Linked DNA regions of Nothobranchius furzeri. The protein of the gene in region 5 interacts with the protein of the main gene of each other region in a biochemical or structural test. Links are inferred from orthologs where the notes say so. Each region holds a gene or a part of one and is shown on either strand. Other genes may lie near its edges.

Evidence for each region.
Region 1: the proteins of interferon-induced, double-stranded RNA-activated protein kinase (region 5) and prkra form a complex in vitro, tested with the Homo sapiens proteins (3 studies listed by BioGRID and IntAct, with this or other methods). The link is inferred for Nothobranchius furzeri from reciprocal best matches to the Homo sapiens genes EIF2AK2 and PRKRA.
Region 2: of the proteins of interferon-induced, double-stranded RNA-activated protein kinase (region 5) and eif2a, one has a biochemical effect on the other in vitro, tested with the Homo sapiens proteins (4 studies listed by BioGRID, with this or other methods). The link is inferred for Nothobranchius furzeri from reciprocal best matches to the Homo sapiens genes EIF2AK2 and EIF2A.
Region 3: the proteins of interferon-induced, double-stranded RNA-activated protein kinase (region 5) and dhx9 form a complex in vitro, tested with the Homo sapiens proteins (2 studies listed by BioGRID, with this or other methods). The link is inferred for Nothobranchius furzeri from reciprocal best matches to the Homo sapiens genes EIF2AK2 and DHX9.
Region 4: the proteins of interferon-induced, double-stranded RNA-activated protein kinase (region 5) and tarbp2 form a complex in vitro, tested with the Homo sapiens proteins (2 studies listed by BioGRID, with this or other methods). The link is inferred for Nothobranchius furzeri from reciprocal best matches to the Homo sapiens genes EIF2AK2 and TARBP2.

Annotation. Positions count from the first base shown.
Region 1 is NC_091754.1:21,791,368-21,797,752, forward strand, and holds prkra (interferon-inducible double-stranded RNA-dependent protein kinase activator A homolog), read right to left. Parts: upstream 4,211-6,385; 5' UTR 4,059-4,210; coding exon 4,021-4,058; intron 3,644-4,020; coding exon 3,468-3,643; intron 3,187-3,467; coding exon 3,105-3,186; intron 2,815-3,104; coding exon 2,736-2,814; intron 2,496-2,735; coding exon 2,377-2,495; intron 2,285-2,376; coding exon 2,191-2,284; intron 2,116-2,190; coding exon 1,953-2,115; intron 1,829-1,952; coding exon 1,671-1,828; 3' UTR 1,469-1,670; downstream 1-1,468. Other genes in the region: casp10 (caspase-8), read right to left, coding at 5,458-5,626. UniProt on the Homo sapiens protein: Activates EIF2AK2/PKR in the absence of double-stranded RNA (dsRNA), leading to phosphorylation of EIF2S1/EFI2-alpha and inhibition of translation and induction of apoptosis.
Region 2 is NC_091753.1:55,699,907-55,706,344, reverse strand, and holds the start of eif2a (eukaryotic translation initiation factor 2A), read left to right. Parts: upstream 1-2,848; 5' UTR 2,849-2,929; coding exon 2,930-2,957; intron 2,958-3,581; coding exon 3,582-3,651; intron 3,652-3,739; coding exon 3,740-3,811; intron 3,812-3,889; coding exon 3,890-4,008; intron 4,009-4,087; coding exon 4,088-4,187; intron 4,188-4,256; coding exon 4,257-4,339; intron 4,340-4,470; coding exon 4,471-4,544; intron 4,545-4,608; coding exon 4,609-4,753; intron 4,754-4,819; coding exon 4,820-4,936; intron 4,937-5,037; coding exon 5,038-5,194; intron 5,195-5,478; coding exon 5,479-5,563; intron 5,564-6,438. Other genes in the region: stress-associated endoplasmic reticulum protein 2, read right to left, coding at 1,360-1,432, 1,792-1,875. UniProt on the Homo sapiens protein: Functions in the early steps of protein synthesis of a small number of specific mRNAs. Acts by directing the binding of methionyl-tRNAi to 40S ribosomal subunits.
Region 3 is NC_091751.1:34,779,091-34,785,752, reverse strand, and holds the start of dhx9 (ATP-dependent RNA helicase A), read left to right. Parts: upstream 1-3,082; 5' UTR 3,083-3,237; intron 3,238-4,007; 5' UTR 4,008-4,054; coding exon 4,055-4,165; intron 4,166-4,247; coding exon 4,248-4,388; intron 4,389-6,662. UniProt on the Homo sapiens protein: Multifunctional ATP-dependent nucleic acid helicase that unwinds DNA and RNA in a 3' to 5' direction and that plays important roles in many processes, such as DNA replication, transcriptional activation, post-transcriptional RNA regulation, mRNA translation and RNA-mediated gene silencing.
Region 4 is NC_091743.1:62,019,019-62,025,675, reverse strand, and holds tarbp2 (RISC-loading complex subunit tarbp2), read right to left. Parts: upstream 4,452-6,657; 5' UTR 4,309-4,451; coding exon 4,256-4,308; intron 3,473-4,255; coding exon 3,158-3,472; intron 2,997-3,157; coding exon 2,927-2,996; intron 2,817-2,926; coding exon 2,699-2,816; intron 2,583-2,698; coding exon 2,455-2,582; intron 2,292-2,454; coding exon 2,096-2,291; intron 2,002-2,095; coding exon 1,844-2,001; 3' UTR 1,626-1,843; downstream 1-1,625. Other genes in the region: tespa1 (protein ITPRID2), read left to right, coding at 198-285, 432-523. UniProt on the Homo sapiens protein: Required for formation of the RNA induced silencing complex (RISC). Component of the RISC loading complex (RLC), also known as the micro-RNA (miRNA) loading complex (miRLC), which is composed of DICER1, AGO2 and TARBP2.
Region 5 is NC_091752.1:1,789,591-1,794,594, forward strand, and holds part of interferon-induced, double-stranded RNA-activated protein kinase, read left to right. Parts: intron 1-85; coding exon 86-147; intron 148-2,972; coding exon 2,973-3,048; intron 3,049-3,288; coding exon 3,289-3,341; intron 3,342-3,420; coding exon 3,421-3,540; intron 3,541-3,627; coding exon 3,628-3,750; intron 3,751-3,829; coding exon 3,830-4,034; intron 4,035-4,242; coding exon 4,243-4,386; intron 4,387-4,585; coding exon 4,586-4,687; intron 4,688-5,004.

The DNA.
Region 1 (6,385 bases), on a different chromosome or scaffold from region 5:
AAGCTGTCTTAATCAAAATAACTAATTAAATGGTCACGTAAAAATGTTAATTTTGTATCTTCTTAAAAAGAAGCATTTTAAGACACACAAGTCCATCCATCCATCCATTTTCATCCGCTTATCCGGAGCCGGGTCGCGGGGGCAGTAGCCTAAGGCGAGAGGCCCAGACTTCCCTCTCCCCAGCCACTTGGGCCAGCTCCTCCGGGGGAATCCCAAGGTGTTCCCTGGCCAGGTGAGAGACATAGTCCCTCCACCGTGTCCTGGGTCTACCTTTAGGTCTCCTCCCGGTTGGACGTGCCCGGAAAACCTCACCAGGGAGGCGTCCAGGAGGCATCCTGGCCAGACGCCCTAGCTACCTCAACTGACTCTTCTCGATGTGGAGGAGCAGCGGGTCTACTCCGAGCCCCTCCCAAATGACCGAGCTTCTCACCCTATCTCTAAGGGAGAGCCCAGCTACTCTTCGGAGAAAACTCATTTCGGCCGCTTGTATCCGCGATCTCCTTCTTTCAGTCACTGCCCAAAGCTCATGACCATAGGTGAGGGTAGGAACGTAGATCTACCGGTAAATCGAGAGCTTCGCCTTCTGACTCAGCTCTCTTCACCACGACAGACCGGTACAACGCCCACATCACTGCAGATGCAGCACCAATCCGCAAGACACGCAAGTATGATAGATTAATATTAAAACACATTTTGAACACCTTTTGTCTTAAAATGTCTGACCAGTAGGTGGCGATATCACATAAATTAACCATTTTCTATGAAAACTGCGTTTTCAAGAAGCTTAATTTGGTAATCTGGAGTATTTTAATGATTAAACTAGAAATCTGAAGGAAAATGAATTTAGCATGTGTAAATAATTTATGAATATTTTTGATTTGTATAATATTTACTTTCAATAGAAAAATACAAAGCCTTGACATTAAAAAATTTGCCTTTTTACTGAAAAAATTAATAATTAATGCATTATCTGATTCTGATGGTATTGTTAGAATTTGAAGATGCGATTCTTGATGAACTAATAAAACCTAAACAAACAATAACAGACACAAACGTTAAGGTTCAGATCGGTGTTATTTTCTGCACTCAGGGTTAATTTTTTATAACAGCAAGCACAGGCCAGGACATTTCTGATAAATATATTAGTTTGCTTATTTATATAATGAGGCACCCCACAGGAGCAACAGCAACAGACAACAGGATTGGACTGGTTTTTGAGCTTTAACATTTACTTTCTTCCCCAAACACAAAAATAAAGCTGCTGATTCCACTCGACAGACTCAATAGTGTTAAAAGTAAAATAAATACAAATTCTATTTCAGTTGTGGAATGAAATGCAAACAATCCTCATATCATAATAAAAAGTACATCCTGGTCAAAGTAAAGCTGCATATATGGGGAAAATGCAACACTGGGGGGGGGGGGGGGGCTAAATAAATCACTGATCTATCATTTCTGTGGTGTCTGAAGCCGCTCTACATGACTACAAAAATAAATCTTTACAAATCCCAATGATTTTACAGCAAGCATAAGAATGAAACCGTTTTCACACACACATACACACCATAATAAACACACACTTCACCGATCTTCAGCTCATATTGCAGGAGGACCTTGTTATGACGAGCCGTCAGCTGATATCTGTGATTGCTGTGGTCAGGCGGATGTGTCTATTTGCTGGAGGCTACGATCTTGATGTACTGGAGCGCGCTATGTGCCGCCACATTGTGAGCGTTGCTGCAGGAGATGCCGGTGCCGTGACACATGGTGACGGGGTCGGTGGATAGTTCTGCCAGGCACTGGTACTGTCCGTTTACAGTCAGCTCATCTGTCAGACATGAACACAGTCAGGGATTTTCTACAGGCAGACATAGGGTCTCCCCTGAGTCTGTTTTTCTGCCTTTCGGGATAAAAGAAGCCTCCAAACATCAACCAAAGCACTAAATTCTTACCAATATCATAGTATGTGACCTCGAAGCCCTGCTCGTGGGACAGATCCAACAACATCTGAATGTAATCCGCGTTGGGAATGTTCAGCGGGCTTCTCCTCAGTAGGGAAATCTTTTCTGCGGAGGACTTTTTCACATTCTCGAGGAGGACACTCGGTTTAGGAGTCTGAAAAACCAGCAACAAGAACATTTCAAACATCTTGTGGATGTTTTAGGAGGTGAAATGAAAGACCTGACTCACCCAGGTGATCTCCGGACCGCCTGACAAACTTTGAAGCTTTGCCACAATTTTCTCTGCAGCCTCCCTTTTTGCTGCTTTTTTAGAACTTCCAACACCTAAAAATAAATAAATAAATAAAACAGGATTAAAACAACAGAACCAAAACAAACAAACTATTTAAATGACTGAAAAAAATGTTTAATCTTTCCTTTTTCTGTAAGAGAGTCAAATCTACAAGCGACAGTGAACTCCCTCTGATGTGGTGGACCAGACTCAGCTAGAACTGCATATTCAGGCCGACGCCATCCTCTCTGGATCGTTAACTCCTAATAATAATTTTTAATTTTAGGTCAATTAATATGAAGAGAAAAATGATATATAATTAACTAAAATGACACCCTTGATCAGTTGCTTAAAGGTTAAATAATACAAACATGACTGTAAAACAGCTGCAGCAAGATAAGTACTCTCTTCTGTAACACAGACCGTCAGAAATTACATAAAACAATAATTTTACATTTTCACAAAAGCAAACGTGACATATAAAAGATGTAACGTGATCACACCTGCAGAAGGGACACAGAGCTGGGATTGTAGTTTGCATCCGCTGCATCCCCGTTGGTGTCGGACTTCCCAGGAGAGGTCCTATTGGGCGTCACGTCAAACACATTAGAGCTTCAACAGTTATAAGAAATCAAATAAATACAACAAAACGCAAAACTTCTGACGACTGACGTTGCTGAATATATTTGTTCTATAACTTTACAGATAATGCTGTCAAATTATTTAACTACAAATAAAATTCCTATTGCAGCCTAAGCAGCATTAAAATATTCACATATGAGACCCCGATAGAAGCTGTACATTCTTTGGTTTTCGCTGTAAAAACCAGGTAAATGAACTAATGGTAAGCAAATAGTTTTGACTTCACTCACAATTTTTTAGAATCGAGGTTCAACAGCTTCAGCGCAGCACTTGCAGCCTGGTGTTTAGCAGCCTTTTTAGTAGGACCTTGACCTGAAATAAAATATAACGAAACAAATTTGTTTCAAAAGCAAAATTAAGTGAATCTTATCACAGATTTTAATTTCTAGCTTAAAATTTTTGCAATTATTTTTAATTTTCTTTGCACAGGTCTACGCTGGAAGTGCAACGGGACACGCTGATGATGCATTTAAGAGTTTACAGCAGCAAAAGACTAACCTGTAACGTGATCAGTGAGTTCTAACTGGATTTTCAGCATGAAACCTCAACAATAAATTACCTCCTGAGTTAGGAAGTACCTAGGTAGTACCTACCTGTACACCGAATGTCTGCAACTCTCACGCTGAAGAAGAAGCTGGGCTGGTGGCCACTTCCTTCAGCTTTCTCCATCTCGTACACAGGAGCGTTCCCACTGGCAGTCCCATACTCATGCAGGATTTGGATCGGGGTCTTCCCCAGGCTGGCCCATTCTGCTTCTTGTGAATCCAAACTTATATTTAACAAAGAAACAATAACATGCAACCTTTGTTACAGGTTAATCTGGGGTTATTTTGGTTGAACAAATTATATTTTATGAATTTTATATGGTGTCTACCAAACTGTTTAGGAAAAATAGGAACTGTAGCTAATTGCGAGTATTTCATGATTACTTCTAATATAAAATTATTTTGTTGTTTCATCACAAAAACAATCTATAATCTGTTAAATAGGAGAAATAAATGTATGTATAACCGTTGGTTTTCAATGTAATGGTTTGAAGCGTCCATTTAAACCGTACTGTTGTTTTTACGCACACAAGAAGATAAAATCATTAACTAGTTTCTGTAAATGATTTGAATTTAACTTGTAAATAATAACGCTACAAACCTTTTGTCGTCCGGTGACTGATACCCCTGTTGAGACATGTTGGATTATTTACGGAGGTCAGCAGGAATTTATCTGGTGGAAACTTAAAAAATAAAGATAAATATAATCTAATGCTTCAGGTTTTCTTCACATTAAACATATTCATGTTTCTAAACGAAGAAAATGCTGCATCCTTCCTGGAGAAAAAGGGAAATAAAAGTCGTGTTCACATCCGGGTCAGCGGAAGTGGTTGCAGCGATTTAGTGCACCCCCTGCTGGTTGAGATAATGGACTGCAATCAAAAACCTAAAATTGTATCTCACTAGTGGGGGGAACGTTTTAGCAAAACAATAAATAAAATGTATTTATGTGATGCAAAAATTAAGTAAGACTAAATTGACACAAATTTTATTTCAGTTTTGAAAACTAATTATAATAGGAAACCAGTTTTTTTCCAGGTTACTCTTAGACAAAGCATACTTTGTATCAAAGTTTATTTTTCATCAACTTTGTTCATTTGACATTTTTTTCTATTCCCATTACAATAATCTAAATAGCCACATTTTACTATTTTGACAAAGAACACGGAAATGCCATAAATACTGTTGCCATGCATCAAAAGATCCTGGGTTCAAATCCCAGCTGGAACCTTGCATAGTTTGCATTTTCTCTCCATACACACCAACTCAGGCTTTCTCCTAATGTGCAAAAACATGCATGTTTGAGTAATTGTCAATTCTATTAGACCCTAGGTGTGTATGTGAGTAGAAGTTTGTCCCTTTGAGACTCTGTCCAGGTCAGACTCTGCCTCTCATCCAATAACTGTTGGACATAAGCACCCAGAACATTTCCACTAATGTATTTGATAAGAAATATATTCTTTAAGAAATTAAAAAAAATATATATATATAGTACTGTTGAACAGTTAAGATTGTTTAGAGGCTTGAATTTGTCATGATTACACCTAGATAGCAGTAGAAAACAAAGTTGGTAATAAATTCATTTTCAGTCTAAATGCTTATTGCTTTGGCTATATAAAGTGCCACATCAGGGACAATTTAAATAAAATCATTCTGCAGCAAAAACTAAGACCTAACACCAACTCAAATGAAACATAAAACATGTTCAGAATTAGAATGTCGTGTCAAGGCGCTGAAATTTGGCACACTCAGCTTCTTTGGAAATAACTAGGCAGACTCCATTCTGCAGCAAAAACTAAGACCTAACACCAACTCAAATGAAACATAAAACATGTTCAGAATTAGAATGTCGTGTCAAGGCGCTGAAATTTGGCACACTCAGCTTCTTTGGAAATAACTAGGCAGACTCCTGGGCTTTTACAAGAGCTCATCAATAAACATACAAATAACGGTCACACAGACACGCACCAATATTTAAAGATGTAAACAGTGTGTGGAATCGGCCTCCCAGGGATCATTACATTCTATTAACAGGAGATCAGAAGGTTTTCAACTCAGGAGGAGGTGTTTTGGGAATGGGGAAGACCACTCTTTTGCGGAGTGAGAAGGCTGGTTGAGGCATCTGCTTTGTCTGACCCCACTTATCAGCAGACATCTTGCTCACATCGGCGTTCACTTGTGTCAGGATAGAGATGAGATCAACCTCCCTGAGAAAGACAAGAGATGCTGTGAGACGATGACAAAAACACCACTTAGATACAGTAACCCCCAAAGCACACTGGAGGCGTCAGCGGCACGGAACATCTCTGCTTCAAATAGAATCCATTATAGTCTAAGGGTTGATCCAGACCGAACGCGACACAGGACATTTTAGGTGTGTCCCAGAAATGGCTCTCTGCGCCGCTAAAGACAGGATTGGGTTCCATTTTTGCCACAGGCCACTTCTGGGACATATCAATTTCCACAGGTAACATAGAGCTAGACAGGGCAATCCCACACGGTATCCGTGTGCAACGTCCAGCTTTAAAACAAATACTATTGCACAAATGCAATTTTTTATCCATCAAGATTACATCAATACATGTGACCTAACGGATTATTTACTCCCAGCATCTTTCAAGAAATGCAACGGTGTTTTTTGTCCTAGCAGTGGAGAGGCACAACATTAAATACGACATCAAATGTGATCTCCTTCTTCTTTTTGGTTAAATGGTGGATGGCACAAACAAACAGTGATCTTTGAAGTCTCGTGGAATTTTGTGATTCTACCAGTTAAAAGAGGAGGATGGAGGAGAAGCCGTTCCGCATCTGAGATGCTTCTTGACATGGATTAACACGCCACGAAACACGCGAGTAAACCGTTCCGCTGCCGTTAATACCTCCAGTGTGGACTGGGGTTGCCTTTTTACGACCAATCATATCATAGAAAAGAAGAGACAGACCTGTTAGGCAGGTAGATGAAACAA
Region 2 (6,438 bases), on a different chromosome or scaffold from region 5:
TGCATATAAACCGTGTCGCGGACACCGCCATGCTGAAATGACGCTATGCATTACGGGGCTCCCAGGGGCAGATAAGAGTTGGTCTCTCTCCGAGAATAATTATGAATTTAACAACGATTACTGCCTGATGACATTTTCCCACATCTGCAAAGCTCACTGGAAGGACACAAACCGAGGACGATATTTTCCTGATATAGGGTTTATTACTCAAGTAAGGGTAAAAAAGTATCTGATTAGAAGGCTACTTGAGTTCTGAGTATCATCTGATCTAATATTTTTAAAATGATGACATCAAACAGACAAAAAATAAGTAGTTATGGGCAAATATTGTATTTTAAAGACTAAAGGGGAAAAATGTAAACAAATAAACAACATAATTACAAAATAAAACATTTTAGGCTAAATTTAGACACAAACTGAGGACAATATTTTCCTGATATACAGGGTTTATTTAGTTTTCTGAAAATGTAACATGTTTAAAAAAAATATATGCCACATAAAATATACGATAATACCGAAAACCGTGATAATTTTGGTCAGAATAACCGTGAGGTTAAATTTTCACACCGTGACAACCCTACCTAGTGGTGGAGTGTCCACCCTAGGAGTGGGAGATCAGGATTCAAATCCCAGTCGGGTCATACCAAAGACTTTAAAAATGGGACCCAATGCCTGATACCCACTCAGTTTTAAGAGGTTAGACCACCAAATAGTTCCGGAGTGCAGCAACACCACTCCCCATGGGGACGGTTGAAATGTGGCGATGTGATTTCACCAATGTGTGACGATGACTAATTGGACTTTTACAATTTTACCATTATCATCGTTTCCAATGTGTTTTATTAGGTGTTTGCTCTGAAGGTTTGATCATAAGTGATCTGGGCTCAGCTGCTGGACTCTGATAAGAGTCCCACCTCCTGTCAAGAACAGACCTGAGCCAGTCTGAGCATGCTCAGATGTACACCACCTGGTGTTGGTTACCAATCAGGCCACCAACAGACACCAGGGCACCATGACCTACCAGCTTCACTTCCTACTGGTCAACCTGCTCGTCGGAAAAGCCATCAGAGCAACCTGATTTTATGATGTCATCAACAGCTGACAGACGCATCATGTTTGGAAGTTTGAATAAAACATGTGTTGTTAGTTCTAAAGATGTTGCTTCTCATCTAAAGAGCAATTATAGTTCAAACTGGAAAGATTTAAGCTAAGAAGAGTGGTTGAGCTTGTGTGACTAAACAAACTCCGCCCACATTGAGATGGCACCACGGGTACATTTAAGGGTTTTGGCCACTTTTTTCAAGTGATTACATGAGAAGACGCTCATACATTACATGAAACATCAAACGGTAGGCTTACCTGATCCACAGACAACAAAGATGAAGAGAGCTAGAAGCCAGGGCCCCACACCTTTTACGTCTTCCAAGTTCCTCTGAAACAAAAACGGTGCCTTTTTTACTGAGCAACACTGAAGATGTCATCAATTTAAACCTTTTTCCTCTCTCACTTGATCTCTCGCCAATCGTGTGCTTTTATTTTGGAAATTGGAATTACGGTTTCCTGTTGCGTGTCTAATCGAACGGTTCTGATCGATCCCATGGACACCAACATCCCAGCTAGTTTGATTAAAAGGAATAATCGATCAGCTGAGTGCTTAGATAAAGCATCTTTACACGCTCCAGCCGCCTGATCACGTTCTAAACGGTTTTTGGGTCAGCTGATCAGTCGGTGGGATCAGGAGGACCAGCTGTGACTGTGTGGTTTTGGTTCGGGATCGGTTCTTTAACTCACCATTGACTTGGCCACGTTCCCGCGCTGCGTGATGTTCTTACTGTGTTTCTCGTTCGCCATGCGGATTCTCTGTTTAGCCACCATCTTGTCTGGTTGTTTATTCGCTTTTAATTGTTTTTATTTACTCGTCTCTCGCGCCGCCTCGCTGTTCCATGGACTGGGAAGAACTCCAGATTGTCTACGTACTCAAAAAGCTAAAGCCCCGCCTCATTCCAGTAAACCACGCCCACAGGTTGCGTGACACCCGTGTAAAGCTAGTGGTCATCCAAAATAAGGTTTCCTGTTCATTCTTTCAAAAGAAAAGGCTGAAACTATAGGATTAATGAAATATGCAAATACGCAAAAAATGTTTATCTCAAACGTGACAAAGGCTTCAACGTTTTATTAAGTGTATAAATATTGTTCAAAATGAAGCTGGTGAGGCAGATACAGCATATAAGATTTCATCCTCACAAATGAATGCATGCATTTTAAAAGGCCTAAATAAAGAAATTAAAAGATGTTAGTGCCAGGAGCTGGTTGTGTCAAACTAGAAACCACCTCATCCACCAAAATATTTTTATTACCATTCTAGTGCATTTGCAGATGCAATCGCAATTTAAATTTGTTTGAATTTTCAGCTAAGCTGGTCATGAACTTTGTTGTTTTCATTTTTTCTATAAGTCGCTTAAATTGGGCTAAACGAATTTAGAATCTTAACTTTTGAAATGTTTTTTTTTATTTAGCCTGGTGGAGCACACAAAAAATATCAAAACAAAGTTTTACCACTTACTCTAAAATTTAGTGTTTTGACAAACAAGTCAATAGTGAAAGTCTATTCTTTTATTGTGAAAAGGAAATTTAGCCAATTTTTTGTTAATTTCTACAACTTGATCTCTTTTTTTTATCTACATCGCTTTATTTTACATAAAAAATCGTTTTGCATTATATTCAATAAATTCCGCTAGAATGTGTTCATTGAAACAAAACGAGTTGATATTTGAGTCTTAAGAGAAACGTTTTTATTCAATTTGAAACAGAAACTCTTGTTGCTAATCGGTGTTTTACGCTGATGTGGCACTGAGGAGCCCGCCTACTTCCGCTGTGACGCATTTCCGGAAGGTCTTTGGTTCCTACCTACCTTCCTACACATGTAAACATGGCGCCCCCCGTGCCGCTGTTAGCAGGTAAATTAGGTTTAAACTCTTTGTTTTTTGAACGAGTTTATATGTTTACACCGATCCGATAGCGACCTTTTAGTGAAAATAAATCTGATTTCAATGTTTTATTGCAGCTTTATTCGTCAAAAATGCTTTATTAACGTGTCTATCACGTCTGTGACACGAAAGTTTCCTAATAAAGGTTCAAATAAAGGCGAATTTTTAATTTTACCTGGTGGACTAGGAGCTCTGATGCACCGAGCTGAAGCGGTTTTACTAGAATTTCCTGACCCCGACAGACTGAAATCTTCACAAGTTAAAATGAAATGAATTTGGGTCAGAATAACAAATCAGATGATTTTCATTTATTTTATTTAACCTCCCAACATTTTCCCTGTTTTATTAATAAGAGCAGGGTTTGTTAACCCATTGTCCTGATGACGTCTCTGATATCTGGACCATTAGAGGTGTTATTTCATTAATAACACCTGGACACTCGCTGGTCCAGACCTGTTATTTTCCTGCTTCCTGGTAACAGGTTTGAGGCTTTGTGCTGCGGACCAGGCAGTGGTACCTCTACAGAGACCAGGTTGTTGCACGGATGTCTTCCTGCTGGTTCTAGACACAAATGACCTGCTGTTTCTGTTTCAGTCCGAGGATCAGAGGGAACGTCTCTGCTGAGTGGACCCCCCCGCTGTGAGCCCCACCCTGCCTTTCAGAGGTAAGGGTTCACTTCTGACTGTCCACAGATGGATGGACGGAAAGACAGATGGACAGATGAGCATCAACCTTTTTTGTTTGCTTCTCAGGGACACCCATCCCAGCAGGTGCCTCACCTTCAGCACAGATGGGACACTCTTTGGATGGTGCAACGGACGCAGGTAGACTTTCATCGTCTTGTCTCCTATCGACGTGATGATGGATGCTAATGCTCAAGTGACTGTCTTTCTTTCATTCAGTGTCCACGTGGTCAAATGTATAGATGGGTCCACAGTGTCCAACTTTGAACTCCCAAAGACAGCTCTGATAGAGTTTTCTCCCCTCAACAACATCCTGGTTACCTGGCAACCATACACCAGTAAGACTTTAGAGGACATATGGTGGAGGATGAATCAGACGTGACAGAGTGAACGAGGCTTTCTCTTTGGTCTCTGCAGAGACGCAGGACAGTCCTCAGGGCGAGGCCAACCTCCGGCTGTGGGAGTTACCAAGCGGCCGTCCAATCAAATCTCTGTATCAGAAAAAGGTGGACTCCTGGTGAGTCTGGAGGCCTCAGTCTACTCACTGATTGGTTGTTGAAATTCTAATGAGGTCTCTTGTCCTCAGGTGTCCCATCTGGTCTGAAGATGAGAAGATCTGTGTGAGGAGCGTCAACAATGAGCTGCACTTCTACGAGAACAACGACTTCAGTAAGAAACTTGTTCATCTGCTTCAGTGGGGGTGTAGTAGGTGGTGGTCTACAGGAGTGGCTGGTAAACCAGGGCAGCCCTGGTCTCAGATCCGGATCCGGACGTCTAAAGACCAGAATGTTTTGTTTCAGACTCCATCGCCAACAAGCTGCACATGCAGAAAGTATCGGACTTCGCTCTCTCACCTGGAACTCAGCCAAGCAAGGTGAGGAAAAGTGGACAGGAAGACTCAATCCAGGTCCGGCTGTCTGATCCGTTTGTCCCTACAGGTTGCCGTCTACGTTCCAGGAAGCAAAGGAGCTCCGTCGTTTGTGAGGCTCTATCAATATCCAGCTCTGGAAGGTCCGAGCGCCGCGCTCGCCAACAAAAGCTTCTTCAAGGCAGACCGGGTCAGCATGCACTGGAACAGGAAAGGTGAGAGTCCAGAACGGCTGCAGAAGCCGGGGTTCCCTAAAGCTAACCTGTGGGTTGTTCCCTCAGCGTCGGCAGTCCTGGTGACGGCGAGCACCGAGGTGGATAAAAGCGGGGCATCGTACTATGGAGAGCAGACGCTGCACTACCTGGCCGTGAATGGAGAGACGGCGGTGGTACAGCTCGGTAAGAACTGGGTTCGGACAACACTTCCAGTCATCCATTAAACCAGAACCAGAACTTTGTTCTGACGCACTCACCCTGCCTCTCTTTTTGAATTCAAACAGCGAAGAACGGACCTATCTATGACGTGGTCTGGAGTCCAAACTCCTCCGAGTTCTGTGTGGTGTACGGCTTCATGCCCGCCAAAGCCACTGTATTCAACCTGAAATGCGAGCCCATATTCGACTTCGGAACCGGGCCCAGAAATGCCGCCTACTACAGGTGAGCCTGAGATCAGTCTCCATCGCAGGTCCAGACTGAACCAGCTGGTACCAGAACCTGTCGGCACAACTTTATACTCTTGCTTTCCACTCCGAGGTCGAAGGTTCTAGAGTCACCATCAGATGGTTCTGAGTCTGCCTCTAATGTACAGAACCAGAACTGATAAGCTCAGTTCAACTTAATGTTCAGGTCTGTTTGAGTCTTGATCCAACCTGCTCAGTGTCGGATCAGAACCGGTTCTGTGACTGTAGTACTGTTGAGTAAACCGTCCTTTCTGGTCTCAGTCCTCAGGGCCACATCCTGGTTCTGGCTGGCTTTGGGAACCTGCAGGGGCAGATGGAGGTCTGGGACGTGAGGAAGTACAAACAGGTGAGCACGTGAGTCAGAACCCGTGTGTGACTGCTGACAGAATCTGAACCTGCAGCCCCGCCCTCTCCAGATCCAGATGTCTTCTGGGTCTGTACTAGAGCCCTGCGTTGGACTGTTTTCTTCATCCCGCTCCTGCCCGCCCCCGCTGAATTTCTGACCATTACCGCCCGCAACCACAACGTGTGTGTTACACTCCCGCCCGCAACCGCAGCGTGCATGTCTACACACTCCCGCCCGCAACCGCAGCGTGCATGTCTACACACTCCCGCCCGCAACCGCAGCGTGCATGTCTACACACTCCCGCCCGCAACCGCAAAACTCTGAGAAATTATTACCTCACAATAAAAGAGGTATTGAGTTTGCGTCCTCTCTGGTCCTGGAGAAAACATGTCATTTTATAGGCTATACCAGGGGTCGGCAACCCGCGGCCCTTCCATCCATCTGATGCGGCTCTCTGTGCTTGTAAAATAATGAATGGATATTTAAATAAAAAGCTTTATATTTTACTGAAATAATTTAATATCTGTATGTTAATTCCAAATGTAAAGATTGTCTTCGTAAACCTGAACAGTTCCAACCCGGTCTTACTGTGAGACCGGGTTGACGCGTCACGCTTGTGCGTAATCACATCGGCGCTTTCTGAGCTGAAGAGGATGTGAGATTCTGGGCTTCTCCTCAGACGGCTCCTGGATGTGTCGCCACATTGGAGACAAGAACAAGCGCTATTCAGCCAAAGTTTCATAATCAGGGAACATTTTCTAAGTGGATGCCACATAAAGGGGTGGCTTGCCAACTCCGGGTCGGGGGAGAGGTCCTACCTCAAGTGGAGGAGTTTAAGTATCTCGGGGTCTTGTTCACGAGTGAGGGTAGGAGGG
Region 3 (6,662 bases), on a different chromosome or scaffold from region 5:
TTTGTATGGTTGTAATGCTGTGTTGAAAGCGCTATATAAATAAAGTGGTATGGTATGGTATGGTAATATCACAAAGTAAAAAACATTGTTACAAGATTAAACATTTATCTGCAGCATGACAAATGGCTTTTACAGTTTCATTTGAAATTTTTATACGAGTCAAAGTGGATGAAAACATACGGAATTCATTTATGAAACAGTTCATGTTTGGCAGTTGTTTTTCCATTTGCTTTTGTGGATGTGGTATTTACCCATAATAATAATAATAATGTTAATTAACAATGAATTATTCCCCTTTAATTTAGAATTGTAAATAAGAATATCTTCATTTGTAAAACGATCAAGTTCTCTTATTTTATTTTTTAACCAACAATGGACTTCTTCCCAAAACCTCTTACTGACAGGACAGCTGAAAAATAAGTGTTCTGTTCCTTCAGGGCTTTCCTGACATAATTCACAAGGGTCAACTTCAAAACCTCAGTGTCTCTGCTGATGGATAGTAGTTGTTAAGAATTTTAAATTGCATTTCTTTTACTTTGGGCATTATAGGCCATTTTATAAATTTTAATTGTTTTCTTCAATTATTGGATTTCCTAGTATTTTTTATTTTAATCTTTCTATCATAATCATGATAGATATATTTTTAAAGGCTCCATTAAAAAAATTATTTTCACATTTTCTTTCTGTGATGTTCATTTCTCCTATTAATAAATTAGGAAGTTTTATTTGAACATTAGAGAAGAGAATTGTGTTTTTTATCATTTGTATCAAAGTCACTGGTATAGCCTTACATACTTTCTCATATTCCTGAATAGAACATTGAATGTTATTAAATTTGTATTTAAAATTCTGTAGCTGTAGTATTTCACCATCTTTATCCATAACATCGTGTCCAAAGATAATTCCGTGATAATACCACTGTTGGTTAAACAAAGACTTTCTGTTTGAAAAAATTCTCGATTATTCAACAAGGTGGCACAATGAGGAGTAAAATTATGGGTAAATACCATCTTCCAATAATGCAATACTTGTTTGTGAAATTCAGATCATTTAAAAGGCAATTTAGTGATTTCAAAGTCACATTTCAAAAAAAAGTTTAGCCCCCCAAACTTCTTGAAGATATTTTTTGGAATATGAAACCAAATTGTATCTGTCTTTAATAGAAACTCTTTCAGCCACTTTGTTTTAAATGTTCCCAGCATTGCTTCAAAATCCACAGATTTCATACCTCCATTTTTATGTTCTTTGACTAACTGGGATTTTTTTATATAATGGGTTTTATTTCTCCATATAAATTTGTATATAATAGCATTAATATTTTTCACTGTTTTTGGAGCAATATAAAGGGATTGACATGGATATATCAGTTGGGAAAAACCCTCAGACTTGGACAATAAATTTCGCCCAAAAATAAAAAGATCTCTGCTAAGCCATTGGTTCAGAGTTTTTTGTATTTGATCAGTTTTTTTCTTTCATATATTTCTTCTCTTTGTTTTTTGTCTGCAACTATCTTAACTCCTAGATATTTTATTTCTTTTTTAACAGGAATTGACATTATCTCATTATCTGTGCATTCATACAGTGAAAGTTACTCACATTTTTTGTGTTCAGACGAAGACCTGATGCTTTGGAAAAAAATGAAATAATTTGTAATTCTTTGTTAACCATAGATTTATCCTTTAGAAAAAAAAACAGTGTCATCTGCAAACTGACTTAAACAAAATTCAAAATCAAAAAATGTATACCCTGAAAATTTGGATGATTTATTACTAGATATGCTAATAGTTGTGTACATAAGATAAACAGTTTGGGGCTGATTGGACATCCTTGTCTTATTCCACAAGTTATATTTATTATTTTTGTTAGTCCTGGGTTTAAGGAAACATAACTGTTAATATCAGTATAGAACATTTTTATCACTGAACAAATTTTTTTTCTAAAACCGAAATATTCTAGGGTGGAAAATAAAAAATTATGTTCTATAGAATCAAAAGCTTTGAAATAGTCTATAAATAAAATGAGGCTGTCCGTTTCCAAAATAGACCAATAATCCAGTATATCCAGTACTAATCTCACATTATTATGTATGCTTCTTCCTTTTATAAACGCAGACTGATTATTATCTACTATTTTATCAATTACCGTTTTCAGTCTTTCTAATAGCGCTAATAATTTATAATCATTGCACAATAGAGTAATTGGCCTCCAGTTGTCTAAGTCTGTTGTATCTTTTTTTGGTTTGGGAAGAAGGGTTATTATTCCAGTTTTCATTGTTGGGGTAAGACATCCTTCATTTATACACTCATTAAATGTACTTAATAACAATTCTTGAACATCTTCCCAAAAAAAATTAAGAAATTCTGAGGTCAATCCATCAATACCGGGCGATTTCCCATTTTTCTTTTTTTTTCAGGTAATTTTCTACTTCGTTAATATTCAAATCATCCTCCAGATTTTTCCTGTCTTCCTCTCCAATAGATTTAATATTGTTCTTTATCTGAGTGAAGAAGGATTTACATTCCTCCTCACAGAAATTAGAACAATATAGGTCTGAGTAAAAACGTTGAACTTTCTCCTTTATTTGATTTTGGTCTACTATTACAGTGTCATTTTTTTAAATTTGCATATTTTCTTTTTGGATTGTCTAGACTTTTCTAATCCATAAAAATATGTTGAGTTCTTTTTAGTGCAACTTAGTATGATGGGTATGATCTGACAAGCTACGGGTGGCGTGGCGCTGTGGCTCATCCTTCATTAATTTAATTGAAAACATCTAAAGGTTGGAAAAGTAATAACACCACCCTGCAGTTTAACTCAACTGTGCCACCTTGTTGTAATCATTTTTTAATCAGTCGTTTAGTCGTTTATGCCTAAGTATCGCCCGAAGCTTCCTCGTGAACAACCAGTGGCAGTGGCGTTACAGGATCTGCTCGGGAACACACCGGAAATGAGTGCTACGTCGAGGTCTGTTCGCCCATGTATTATGTCGTATTCATGTCCATGCATAAAACAAGCCTCGATATTTAATGAAGTATATATATCAGGAGGCTTTGTTGTTTCATGTGTGTTCTTTTACATTTTAGCCAGGGATACGTGGAAAGGAACCACACTAAATAAGTAGTGGAACCATTGAAATGTATATAATCTAAACCAAAGCCATTTTGGAGGGGACACATATCAACGTCACACAGACCATTCATCCGGCATTTGCGTTTGCTTTGGTTGTTTTGGTCGAATGTGAGTAAAAAACAATTTGAATATTAACTGTCTTTATTCTCGTTGCGTTTCTTACTTGGGTTAGAAGGTATGTCGGTGAAAACGTAAACGGTGTGTCTACAGTTGGCTAGAAGCTAATGCTAGGCGCTAATCTCATCGGTTCACTCACGTTAAAGCTGAAAACGTTACCTCAGTTTGTACTCTTGACGGAATGTAGCTCGTTGTAACCATCGACATAAATATACGTTGTAACACGCTGTTATCTTTATTATAAGTAAATAGCAATAATTAAAGCTTGCATTTTACATCAAACCCTTCCGGCATGTTTGCTAACGGTAGCTAATTAAAAGGCACGAGAAAAAACAGTCCGATTCAAAACAAGTGTTTGAGTTTCATTATAAGATCCAGATGCCCCGCCTGATTGCCCATTGACCGCTGGAGATGGGCACCAGACCCCCGCGATCCTACGTGGACAAAGCGGGTTCAGACAATGGATGAATGAATACGATCCAGAACCACCATAGAAGTAAAGATGTCCATGGAAACAGCGGACACAGAGTTTCAGGCTAAACTCCAGCGGACGTGATGTTCATTAATCCCCTAAAGGCAGTTTGGTTCTAATTCTCCTGCTCGGAATTTTTTTTCCTCAACAAAGATCATTTTATCGTTTAAGCTGCCACCGTTAATCACATTTATTCTGATCTGCTCGCTCGTCTTGTCCAGCTGAGGCAGATGTTTTATGTATTAGTGAGGATGCATCTGTACTTTAAAATGTTTATGTAATTCTTAAGACCAGAGAGTCCACAGAGGAGGAAAGTCCCCTTCCTGTCAGTCCACCATGGCGGACATCAAGAACTTCCTCTATGCCTGGTGTGGGAAGAAGAAACTGACTCCAAGCTACGATATTCAAGCTGCAGGAAACAAAATCAGGCAGAAGTTTAAGTGTGAGGTGAGTCCTCCACCTGGTTCACCTGAGGATGCCGTCTCTCTCCCTCTTTATGGTTCTGACCATAAACACTCTGTGCCTGCAGGTTCGTGTTGATGGCTTCAACTACACAGGGATGGGGAACTCCACCAACAAGAAGGATGCTCAGACCAACGCAGCCCGGGATTTTGTCAATTATCTGGTCCGAATTGGACAAATGAGTGCAGCTGAGGTTCCTGCTCTTGGGGTCAGTTCTGTTTAGTTTTTACTCTGAATGGTTTTTGTGTTTACAAACATTCACACTGGTGATGTAGGCTTAGGGTTTCCCAGAGGGATGCACCAAAAATGTTGGCCACCAAAACATTTGGCTGAAAATGACCCGAAGGTGCTTTTTCTGTTTTTTAGCCGAGACAGACCTCCGCCCTCATGTGGCAACTTGCTCTTTGCTTCATAAAAATCATACATTCGTACTGATTTCAAAAGGATAGTAAAGTTTTCTTCTTTTTAGTAATGCTGTTTTATTCCGATCACTGAAATTATCATATCGATTATATATGCAACACACTTTAACTGTTTTCACATCTACCGCGTCTGCCTGACTTTTTTTTTGCTCTTTGACATTCCCCTATATCTGTCACTATTAGCGATGTTCCTTTCTGCACCCAAATATGTCCTGAACAGTGAAATAAGCTTTGGATCGTGTGTGTGAGGCGTGTTTACACTCATGAAGCACACAGACACTGTTGCTGCTGTGCAGCTGCAGTGTCTCTTTCTTCCTCACTGAGAACGAGTGATTGTCTTTATCCGAGGGTGAATATTACTCTTCAGAATCAGTCGGCCATTACCAGACAACTTTGTCAACAGTTAACTCTATGTACTCCGAACACTTTAACAGAAACACCAGAAAGTGTTACTCAGCTTGAAGTTACACTACACTGTCTTTTGGTGTAAAGTAAGAACTTCATGAGGGATTATATTTGCAGCTGTGGCTCGTTAAACACAATATTTCGACTTTGGCACCTAAAGGGTTAATTATACGGCCTTTCTCAGCATGCCTGTCAGTTTTAAGTCTGTACATTTATAATTTGTAATATATCAGTTTATTGCCAGACTTGAAGTCCATTTTAAAAGAAAATAACATAATGATAAAAAAATAACATACAAGATAAACACAGGGAGAAAAAAAAAGATACCAATTAACATGAATACTAATAAGATCCTATATAAAACACAGGATATAACTGCAGCGGGAGTAAGGGACAACAAAACTAACTAGTTGAGATAAATCTACCCCAACATTTTAACCAGTGCTTTCTCAGCCTAGACAACTAACGAGAGCAGCTCACAGTGGGATGTGAATGCAACTATAATACTATTGGAAGATTCAGCCGTCTCATGAACTTGAATATTAAATTTCTTAGAAGCGCCTTAAATGTGCACACTCAGAAACTAACGTTTAACTAGCACTGCCTCCCCTGGGAATTTTGAAGAGGATTCTCATTGCATCGTTGTAGGCCACTTGTAGCCTGTGCAAGCTAGACTTTTATAGAATGACCACAGATGTGCAGTATATAGTGGTGTGCAGTATGCTTTAAATAATGCCACTTTAACAGGTGTGGAACAACTGCTACATTTCCCTGCAGTGGTGTTTGCTTGCACATATAGCTTGCCTGTAAATATCATCATCGTCACTCATATTGGCTGTGATAAAGTGTCCAAGATATTTTATCTTCTCACAGACCGTAAGACTGTTGCCGGACAAAATGAACACAGGAAACTTACGCTTTTTATCCTGGATGGTTCTGTAGATTAGAACAGCACTTTTGCTTGAGTTATATTTTAAATCATAGTCCATTCCATACCCAGTACTAACATCTAGGAGCTGCTGCATTCCTGCACTACTTGGGCAAAAACTACAAGGTCATCCGCATACATAAGGTGATTAATCCGAACATCACCTATCAAACAGCCCGTGTTACAAGCTCTCAAGACGCCCAGATGACTCATCAACATATACGTTGAACAAAACTGGAGATACATTTCCACCCTGCCTTACCCCATTGGACCAAGCCCCCACAATGCGGCTCAAAACTTGAGTCCAACGCGGAAGTACCAAAAATTGCAGTTCCACCCTCATCCGCTGGGGGCTGGTGTCAGAAGCGAGCAAATCCTCATTGACTCCCATGTTAAAAATACCAATTTCACAGCAGAAATAAACATGTTTACAGCCTGGTACCAAAACATGTTTTTGTTTTAAATTATCTAGTTTACACTCATGACAACTCTGAGGGGGGTGAATTTTTTTTCTCACTCTTCTGTTTAAGTGTATTAAAAGCCTAAAATTCTGTATAATTAATGAGCATCAGACCCACGTGACCACAGAGCTAGCTCCGTGGAAAGACCTCAGTAGAGCCTCGGCCTGGCTTGGAAACTGCTCCGGGATTTTGAGTCTCTGTGTGTGTGTATTCTTTTTTGGATATTTTTTGTGCAATGGTTGGACAAAATGACTTGCTGTGGCATT
Region 4 (6,657 bases), on a different chromosome or scaffold from region 5:
GGCAACCGTGCTACCATGCAGTCACAGCTTTGAATGAAACACAAAAATTAAACAAATAAAACCATGACAACTAAATAGAAAATCAACAAATAAAGCTCTTTTATCAGTTAATAAGCAGTAAATAAGTTTAGTACATATCATGTACTATATTACCTTTTATAACAGTTTGTAAACTTAACTTTATTCTGTTTCTTAAGGTTCACAGTGCAGGAGAAGATGATGTTGGACAATTAGAAGCTATAAGCACAGCCAGCTCACCGTCATTCAAAAAAGATTCACACAAAGGTGAGAGAGAGAGATTCACTGAGCAGGATTGCTCTTCAGAGGGGAAATGGTGCCTTTCTGTGCTAATTCAGGTCAAACTGCAGCTGCAAAGCCAGTTTTTGTTTGTAACACGTGAAGTTAAACCATCTGCATGTATGTTTGTGTAGGTGAGGTGGTCCGGGGTGACAGCGTGCAGTCTGACAGCAGTGGCTACGCGGATGAAGAAGTCTGCTCTTTAACAGAAAGACACAACAGATGATGGAAAAGCAAAAAGACAAAGAATTGCAGAAGTTTCTGTCAACTTATTCCTGCCCTGAAGATTTGATGGTTTAGAAAACTTAGTTTCAAACTAGTGGGGAAAAATAATCTGCATACATGTAAAATGTTGTAAATCATAAAGAGTTCAACACAACAGGAAGTGGATGGAGTACTTGAGTGGAATGGTTCTTTAATCAGGTGAAAACAACAGTAAAATTACAATATTTTGTTAAAAATGGCAAGTTAGGAGTTCATATTTCATTTACATTTTTGTTACAGGATTTAAAACTGCAGCACAAAAAATGTAGCACCCAAAGTTAAAAAACATTGTTTAACTTCCTCCTTTACAATAATCAGAGGTGGTTGTACTTTAAGAATATTTTTGGTTCCTTACTGAAAAGTGTTCACTCTGTCATTTACAGGGTGAAAACATCACTGCACAGTCTAAAATAACTAATTGATCCAAATAACAAGACATTTTCTTATTAATTTGGGGCTAAACGTGTAGATTTGGTGACATCATCACACTGAAACTAAAATTTAAACTATCAAAATAAAAGTCAAACACTGGGTTAAATTCTAGGCGTCACAAACACAAACGTCTTGAGGTAATTATACTCAGCACGAGTCTAACAGCTTTATTCACCTGGTCTGAGATCACAAAGCTTATCAGGGTTTGGTATTCTAAATGTATTTTAAAAAAAGGATCATATTTTATTTCATGACAAGTACTTCAAAACAGAAAAGACCTTTACAAAACTCAAAAAAAGTTACTAGAATTTGTCAAAGATGGTTCATTCATGGATATTCGCTCCGACGTTGATTTTGTTGTAAAATAAAACACAAAGATTTGAGGAAAAAAACGACAAAGTCAAATTTCTCCATTAATTTGAACTCAAATCAGACAAGCTGATTATTTTAAAACATACTTAAAATTATTAATTTCAACTAACATCATTTGTGACATATGACTCAAAAGTGCATCATTTATGACGTCATGTATATATTTTAAACTTCATATGTAAGAAAACAGCTAATTATATGAAGGATAAATGGGCTAAAAACAATTTTTTTTCCTAAAACAATCTGTCACAAGTACACAAAATATCAAGGGAGTGGGTTTGAGTTTTAGGCTGTGAGATTTTCACCAGCTGGACAACAAATGAACTAGAGATAAACTTGTGTTTAGCTTCAAGGCAGGATAAAAATGTCTCTTAACCAATCTGAGGTCAAAAAGCCTCTACTGTACAACAAGGAGGTGTACATTGGCATCGCGTGGTGGCGAGTTCGGGTCTGCGGACAAAAAACGCGCCCAGGTGTCTCATTTTCCTCCTGCCATGATTTTAAGGTACTGCAGTGCATTGTGAGCCGCGTGGGCTCGAGCAGCTTCTACGTTCGGAGCAAAGCCATGACACACAGTGATGGGTTGTGTGGACAGCTCCACCAGACACTGACAGCGGCCGCTGAGGCTGCGCTCCTCTGAAAAACAAACAAGCATGGATGTGAAGAAAAAAAACGAGGAGTTTCTAACCGCTTTACGGTGCTCCTGTTGTGCTGTTGAGCGTGAGCTCACCGAGGTCGAGGTAACTGACATCAAAGCGCTGCTCCACGGACAGGTCGCTCAGCAACGAGCAGAAGTTGGAGCCAGCTGGCATTCCCAGAGGGTGGCTGCGGAGCTGCAGGATCTTCTCTCCAGCAGAGTTACGCAGAGAATCCCAGGTGCAGCTGAAACTTTTGCTTTTACCCGACTCCGCTCTGCTGCCCATGTGCTGCGTAAATGGGATGATTTTATACACGTTTTACACAGACACAGTAGAGCCAAGCAGAGAAGCTTCATCACCATAACATGGGCACAGTTTGTGATATTTTGAGAATTGCACAAGAAATTTAAGCGCAAGCATATAAATCACTGCTGTGGTGTTTAGCTCTCACCAAATTGAAGGTATCTTCTTCTGCATCTGCCTCGTTGCTGCTCCTCAGGTCCACTGGAACGTCGTGGATCCGTGAGAGCATCTTAGCGGCTGCATTCCTCTTGGCTAACTTCTTAGATGTGCCACTTCCTGGACAGGAAAAAGGAAATCACTCCTTCACTTGGCATAAAAGCAGATTTTGACAAATCCAATTGAGCGTGAAAGCACAACATGCAGATATCAAACAAGAATGAGAGAAGATTTACCAATTTCTACAAATCTCTCCACTCTGCAGGTCATGGTAAACTCTTTTCGATGTGCTGGACCCGACTCCTGAGTGACCGTGTACTCTGGCAAACGCCATCCTTTCTGCACCACCAACTCCTGAAGTAAATCAAAACAGAAAAAAAAAGGAAGGAAACTATAGAAATATTCTAACAGAAACCAGTGTTGTGGATTACCAGGATAAAATAAAGTCTCTATGGCGTAGTTACCTGCAGCGCCCCAACGGGGTTACATTCCGACTGTTGAGAACTGCTGGAAGTCTTCATCTCTGACTGAGAGCTGCATAAAACATGAGAGGACAGACTAAATCCACACAAATCTCTCTCTTCCATCAACTCAATGTTGAAACATCGTCTGGATCCAATCAAGACAAGCCATTAAGCATCACTTAAGCATCGCTAGGTTCTTTTCTACATTTTAAAATGAAGTAGGGTCCTGACCAGTCTCCGTCAATAGACACATCAACCTCGATAAACACGTCTTCTCCGACAGCGACTCCAGCTGGATCTCCGAGGCTTCCTTTGAGCATCTTCAGAGCAGCCTCAGCTGCTTTGTGCTTAGCTGCCTTCTTGCTGGGCCCTTGGCCGGTGCAGCTGATCTCTCCGACGGAGACGCGGAATGTGAAGTTGGGCTGGTGGGCCTGTCCCTCCGCCTTCAGCAGGTCGTACACTGGGGTTTTGCCTATCCGCGTTCCATACTCCTGCAGCAGACTGATGGGCGTCTTTCCAGGATTCACAGCCAGCATTTGCTCAATACTATTTAAAAGATAGAAAGCATAAGCAGCTGTTCACTTATTTTGTTATCATCTTTACTGAGATCAAAACACAACAATGTGGCTAGTTTATTGCTGCTAAAATCTAAAGGGCATACGCTACAATGTTCAGTGGAAAAACTACACTTGTCTATATTTTAGTTTCACGAAATGCAACAAGAAATAGGAAAAGTGTGCCATCTTTAAGGCTCAATCTGTGAAATATGTTTCCAAGAAAAAAAATACTATTATTTGCCAAATGAATACTGACCCAAATAATAAGTGTGGTGTTTTGAGGTGAGATTCTTCACAGTGTACAAAGGAAATGGGCACAAACCAATAAAACTCTATTATTTACATTATCAGAGTAAAAGAAGGCACTTTTATTCAATGATTTATTTGTGAGGCGGCAGCTACAGCCATCTGGAATGAAGATTTGAACCAGAAATGTTTGCAATCAGCTTATTTTATTACATATATTACAAATGGAATAAAGAGATTTGTGTAATTTATGCCGATCTTTACATTTAGGAAAACATTATATTAGTGTTTTTGACCACCTGTTGCCTTCCAGATTACAATAATCCCTCAAAAATCAACCTAGCAGTAAAAAGCCACCAGATAAAGAGTATTAACGATGAGTCAAACAGTTAAGCTGTAGAGATTAAAAGAATAACAGAAGATTAAACACTTAAAACAACATGCACGCGTTAGTTTCTGAGGCCTTTGACTCTGACATTTTATATTGTTTACATACAAATGGCTTTTATCAAGAAGACAATCCCACCTGGAGTCCCCGGAGTTTCTCTTCCAGCTATCCGAAGCTGTCTCGTCGTTCATTCCCCGTTTCGCGCAGACAGAACCGCTCGGTTTCGGATGTAAAATCCCCCCCGCCACAACAGACACGTACTCTCATTAGACGGTATTTATTGTTGTCCCAAAACGATGAGCTAAAGCTGCAACATGATGGATACCAGAAGACGAAACCACCTCTACAGCGACAACCTCGGTCACACGATTATGACGTAGATTGCGTCCTGGGCAGCGTAAGCCCCGATTGGCCCAAATGCCTTCTGTGCCTCAGAAGGTGGGAATGACACTCATCAAGCATTCATCCCTAAATATACTGATGGGTCGAAAGTGTCAGGAAATATAACGGGATTTTCTTTCTGGATTCCGACATTAAGTATATATTATAAAAGTCGAACATCTAATAATCTGTCAGTTTATACAGTGGAAATGTTAGCCATTTCATTTAGTTTACAGTGGATAGAACAAAATGGTGTTAGGAAAAGTATTATTTGCTCAGACTCCATGTCAGCATTGTTATCAATTAAAGAAATGTCAGCTGATAAGAGGTCAGATATTTTGTATGAAATATTTGAGTGCATGTTTAGGTTAGGTTATACAAAAGGTATAATGATTTCTTATTAATAAAACCTTGTTGCAGCACTAAAGCAGAAAAATGAGATTTTGCAAGAAATATGCTAAATATTTACATATGAATTGTTTTAGAGCCGTTTTATTGGCAGAATCTGATATTAATTTAGTTCTTACAAAAAAATGGGTCCCAACGTGGTTTGTGTGGCGTTGCCATAGTGTGACGTCATAGGCACAGATCCCCTGTCCTCTTGTTTGGAAATGGAAATATGATCACCCTACATTAAACAAACTGTCCACCCGGGCTTTTGCGCTGCACAGAGATGCTTCGCTGCCTATGACTTTGAACGCCAGTTGAGAGTCAGTCTCATTCAGACTGACCAATGAAGAGAGGGCCTCAAGTTTAGACCCTCTCCTCATTGGTCATTCCACACGAGGTGGGTCAAAGGTTACCCTGAGCGGGTTACATGATGTCAGGCATTCAAGTATTGAGTATATTTACTGCATATTACAGTAAAATATTCTGTATGTGACCATATTATGGTGATCCTTGGGTCGTGATGATGGGGACCTTTAATATTGTTGCCCAGGGTACAACTAAGTGTTAATCTGACCCTGGGAGCGGAGGTAGTGACTAACACAGCACGTCAGCTCTGTCTTATCAAATGCACCAAGTAAGTTACGAAAAAAGTAACTTTAAATATTCAACCGAAAAAGAGGCGAGCTGAAGAAAACCTAGGGATTACTGAAGAAACGTGAGCAACATTGAAGCAATCACAGCGAGATCCGTTACTGTCTGTGTGTGTGCGCGGATGAGCCGGACGGACTGCGCTCCCGGCCGGCTGCAGTTTTCTGTGTAGGGAGGGGCGGGCGCTCTATGTGACTGGCCAATCACAGAGCGTGAAGACAGTCAGTTACCCAATGAGGATTTTCCTTCAGCACGATTACGGATATTTACGTGTTTTACTCGTTTCATGCTCGTATTCGTCAAAAATGCTCATCCCTAATTGCTATAATACATTATAGTAATGTATGTGGTCTAAATGTATTCTACAATAAATAAACTGCTGTGTCTCATTGGTGTGGTTTAGTAACACAATTGGGAAATGATTTAGGTTATTTTGACTAATTTACCTAGGAGCTATTGAAAAAAACCTTAATTTTTTTTATAAAAATCCTAATAAAATGATCAGATCGCATGAAAGGTGTTAACAACTGCTGTGTCTCATTGATCTAGCTTAGTAACAACACTGAGAAATTGTTTTGGGTATTTTGACAAATTTACCTAGCTACTGGAAAAATCCCTTAATTATGGATAAAAATCCTAATAAAAAAGATGAGATTGTATGAAAGTGTTTATAAATGGCTGTGTCTCATTGGTGTGGCTTAGTAACACAATTACGAAATGGGTTTGGGTGTGTTGACTATTTAGCTAGGATCTATTGAAAAAAGAAATCCCTTAATTTTGGATAAAAATCCTAATAAAAAAATCAAATTGTATGAAAGTTGTTAAAAATTGCCGTGTCTCATTGGTGTGGCTTAGTAACACAATTGAGAAATGATTTTGGTTATTTTGACTCATTTACCTAGGAGCTATTGAAAAAATCCCTTAATTATGGATAAAAATCCTAATAAAAAAGATGAGATTGTATGAAAGTGTTTATAAACGGCTGTGTCTCATTGGTGTGGCTTAGTAACACAATTAGGAAATGGGTTTGGGTGTGTTGATTATTTAGCTAGGATCTATTGAAAAAAAATCCCTTAATTTTGGATAAAAATCCTAATAAAAAATCAAATTAAATGAAAGGT
Region 5 (5,004 bases):
TATCCAGTCTGAATCTCTGCTTCCACTGAGCTGATATTTAAGAGATTTTGATGACTTACTTTTTCACTCTTTATGTGCATTTCAGGTGTCTGTCAGCTCATCCGAGGGCGATGCAGGAATTTCATCACCAACACAGTCAACTCAAAAGTAAGGCACTCAGACAGAACCAGTTTAAAGTGACAGTGTGTAGTTTTTACCGTTAATCTCTGGAAATATCCATCGAAATGTTGTAGTAAATGACTTAAAAGATGCCCAGTTGTTAAAAGATATTGGCAGTTTCATAATATATAACCATAAAAATCTGTTCTAAAATACATGGGAGCGGGTCTGAGGCCCAATCCCAGTACTCACACTTGCGCCTTTCATTTGCGCGTTCCCGGCCAGGGGTGCGAGTGCGTAGGGTGTCCCGATTTTCAAGTGCAGAAGTTGATCACGTCCCCATTGCACCCTTAATCTGCACTTCACCCAAGTCTGCAGCGAAGCGGACCTTGGGCAAGGGTATTACCCACAAGCCATTGCTGCGGAAGAAAAGGCTTAAGTTCCTTTTCTGAAAATATGTATTTTCTAATGAAATTAGTTCATTTTAGGACGATTATTTGCAGCAATAAATGTTAATTTATTTCAAATAGCTGTTTGGCTGTTTGTTTAAAAGTTGTTAATAAAGGTTTTTGAAAAAAGTTTCACAACAACCAGCATCACGGCATGCGTTGCGATCGATAACGCAATGCTCCCTGTCTCAATTCTGCAATTATTTGCACACATGTGTACTACGCACTCGAACCCTACTGCGCACTTTCTCCAAGTGCTCTTTTCTGAAGTCCGCAGGGCGCAGTGTGAGTATTGAGACTGAGTCCAAGTCTCTGGGCAACGCCATATTGTTTCCTTCTATGGAAGTCTATGAGGACAAAATACATTTACTGATTTGTAACGAATGGTTACAACACTTTCACCATTAATAAACGTTGTTTTACACATTTACCTCTTCACTCATTGCCAGTGATGAAAGGGAATCTGATGTTCTTGTTATGTTGCTGGAGGTTGCACTCCCAGGGATTTTTGACCCTAAGGGCCATCCGTTGGTAAGGTCTTATTTGAACACAAAAATAATGTGGAAGCAGTGATTTAGGTATCTACTGCCCCCTATCGCCAGCATCAGGGAGCCTTAGGTAACAAAAGTAGTCAGACCGTGGCGGTAATGTGGCGCAATCGTGTCCTTTTTAGAAAAAAGGGTATGGGGTGATCCCTGTGCTGCCGTAGGCTTCCGTTTATCTTGGACATAACTTGCTTTTTATTACGATTGAAGCCACGCTCATTAAGTTTTGTTCAAAAGCCGTTCCCAAAGGTGTCTATCCTCCACAGCTCCCGTGCAGTCTTTGGTGATCTGAGCTCCAGCTCTAACGGAAAGAAGCTCCTGGAGCTCTGCGTCGCTCCAGTTGATCATCTCAGCATACTGCCTGTATTTACTAGGGCTGTCGCGGTTGAGGAATTCCCCCTGCGGTGATTCAGGGTGGCTTAATATTGCGGTGTGCGATATTATTGCAGCACTTTTTTATTGCAGTACTATCTAAACATAATGTTTACACATTTAAAAAAGGTTAAAAATTGCCGTGCCTTCTTTAATAACACTTTACTGAATGCAGATCAAAGGGCAGTAACAACGCAGATCGCAGTAACGCTTGTTTCTCCGACAGTCGGAGTCCGACTGAACTTAAAAACAACAAAATTCAGGAGGTTAAACTTTTAAATGCAAATTTGGCTGCAGCATCTAACAAATAAGAAACAAGTCCCCATTTTGTTTAGTTGTTTAAAATCAAGCATAAAAAATTACATGTACCGGGCGCGCGCGCGCGCGCCGGGGGGCGGGCGCACTATCATTTCACTTTCACACACACGAATGACGGTGCTTTATAGCTCGGTCACGTCCTTGTTACCTACAAGGAAAACCAGCATGTTAACTACGGTTTGAGAGAGGATCTGAGAGGGGTGGCAACATTTGCAGCAACACTGAAAAGCCTCTCGGATGGTGCGCTCGTTGCACTAACGCACACATACTTGCGTGCGACTCTGGCGAGCAAAGGGAATCTCCCGTTTGTTGCTCCACCATGTCACGGGGGTTTTCTTTAGGGTGGATGCATTCCTCCTGCAGGTAGCGAGTGAGCTCCAGCTCGGCTCAAACTCTCTTTGGGACGGCTGCAGAAGCAGTGCTTGTCCGGGACTTCAGCAGGTCTCCGAGCGTTTATTTATTTATTTGCCGCTGGTGGCAGCTCTGTCTCGGCCAAGGACTCTGGCTGCGCAGCAGCTGACGTACTGAAAACCAAAGCGCTCCCACAGGAGCGAAGTAACGTTTCGTTTTGATACCAGTGCAGCCATCCTTCTCAACATGCATCATTGAGTTGAACCAAGTTCAGTAATCGCGGTGGCGCATGATGCAGCGCGGTGGGCTTCTTCATATCGCGATATTTCATTTTTGCGGTTACCGCGACAGCCCTAGTATTTACTTTAATTTTTAACATAGTTTCTGGCCGGGGCTCGGCAGTAACTCCCCACGTGATCATGACGCCACCTTCTGTTGCACCAAGGCGTAAAATGCATTCACAAGTCTAGCGTTGCGGCAAAATCACTACTGCTTGGTGGCACGGATACAGCAAAATTCCCGCAACGCCATGTCCCCACGGCGCTTTGATAAGACACACAGTGGCGACAGTATTTCGCTGATTTGCTGGCATGGTGTGTCTTCTACAAAAGGCTAATCTCATTGGGGTGGGGCGGTGTTTGTAGGGGGAGGACTCAGGAGTGTGAGACAAGGACAGCTGTTTATTAAACAACAACAATGTTGGAGTACATTTTGTTGTTTTGCATTTGAAGTTTTAGAACCTGATGAAAACCAAAGTAACTTCATTGTGTCCTGATATATAAAACTATAATTAAATTGCTGCCATGATTTGAGAATGTACTTATAATTTGTTTTTCAGAGACTCTAGTGAATTATCACAAAACACGAGTGACTCGGTGATATTTGCTGACTCAGTAAAGCCTCCCAGCAAGCAGGTTTGTTCTATAATAATTCAAATCATTTCTGAAGTGGTTTTTGTCGTCACCCTTGGGTAATCTGTAGGTGTAGGTTTCAAAAACACACACCCTCACTTGTGTTGTTTAGCATTTTAATATTATAACAAGATAATGCTTAGTGAACCGCTCACTTTAGTACTGAATTAAGATTGTTTAAATATTGCAAAGTTGAACATAAACATTGTAGCTGTAGTAAAATCCACTAAATTGTTCTCTTAGGACGTCAAAAGTAAAGCTACTGAACCTGCAGCTTGTACACCAGCTGAGCCAAGGTATGACAGAAACCTTCTGTTGTACTTTAGGATTCATAAAGGATCACTCTTGCCTAAACAGTCTTTTTATATTCTCCAGGTTTAAATCAGATTTTGAAGTCACCGGGCCACTTGGCAGAGGAGGCTTTGGTCGAGTTTACACAGTAAAGGAAAAACTGTTGGGCAAGAATTACGCCGTGAAGATTGTTCGCAGCACAAAGTACGTTAAAGTCATTTTATTAGCAAAGGCATTACAAGAATGACAACATGTATTTTTATTAATAAAGTCATTTATCGTCCCTTTTAGAAAAGCTTTGCGAGAGGTGATCGCATTATCGGACCTCCTGCACACCAACATTGTTAGATACTACAATTGTTGGGAAGAAGATTCAAGATACCAAGATGAGGACTTCAGTGTCAGCTCCTCTGAGTAAGCCTTGTCTAATTTCAAAAAGTTGTCTCTCCTTTTACAACCAACCAACCATGTTATCATTCCCTCTCTGTTGCAGCTCTAAGAGTAGCTCGTGTCAACAATACCTCTACATTAAAATGGAATTATGTAAACAAGAGACCCTTAGAGACTGGATACAAGAGAAGAACATTAATGATCTAAAAGGCCCACAGAGAAGAGCAGAAGGTCTTCCTATTGCCCAGCAGATAGTCAGTGGAGTCGAATGCATTCACTCCAACAACCTCATTCACAGAGACCTCAAGGTGACATTCTTTTTCAAATGTGTTGAATTTAGGAGTCATTAATAGTTTTTTTGTTTGTTTGTTTGTTTTTCTCATCCAGAAATGATTCAAATTTAAGTTTTCAGGCGCCTGAGTGGCTTCAAATATTCTGTTGTAATTAGAAAATAGTATAAATAAAGTTATAAATAATTTATACTCAGTTTAATTGTCTTTGTTTTTTAATCCTCAGCCTGCCAATATAATGTTTGGGAGCGACGGAACGGTGAAGATCGGAGACTTTGGTCTGGCCACAACTGATACAGATGAGAATGATGAAAACCTGCTGGAGAAGACTAAAGGAACTGGAACCAGATCTTACATGGCTCCGGAACAGGTGACTCCTTATTGCAGGATTATTGATAAATGCTATCTTTTTACTTCATGTCACAAATGTATTTCTACTCAGTTTGCTTCATGTACCAAGCATCTTTTTATCTAATGTTTCATTTCATTTCAAAGTCAAAAGTTTTTATGGCTGAAGAGCATTATGTAGCAATAAAACAGCAAGAATAAACGTGTTCTTTATTTCACAGAAGACCGGTAAAAAATATGACCGTAAAGTGGACATGTTCGCTTTTGGGTTGATCTTCTTTGAGCTTCTTTGGAAGCTCTCGTCCGGCCATGAAAGAGTCAAGGTGAGTCCTTCATAAAGAGGTCCCAGCCGTAAACGTGAAGTTACTGACCACACATGTTACATAAGCCCCCTTCAGACAGGCCATGAAAAACGGAAATGTTCCGGACTCTGTCCGTAAGACCTTCGTGTCTGAATACAAACATCCGGATAACGTGTTCTGGAATTTAACCGGACGAAGCCCCTAGTAACAGGTCCGGGCTTGTCACGGACAGGGTGGCTGCTTCAGACTGGTGAGGTCGAGTTCCGGACAGGGAGGAGGGGGAGGAGGAGGGGACCGGGGGACGCTGTGCGCACCTAGATAGCCCGCTCCTGTAGCAT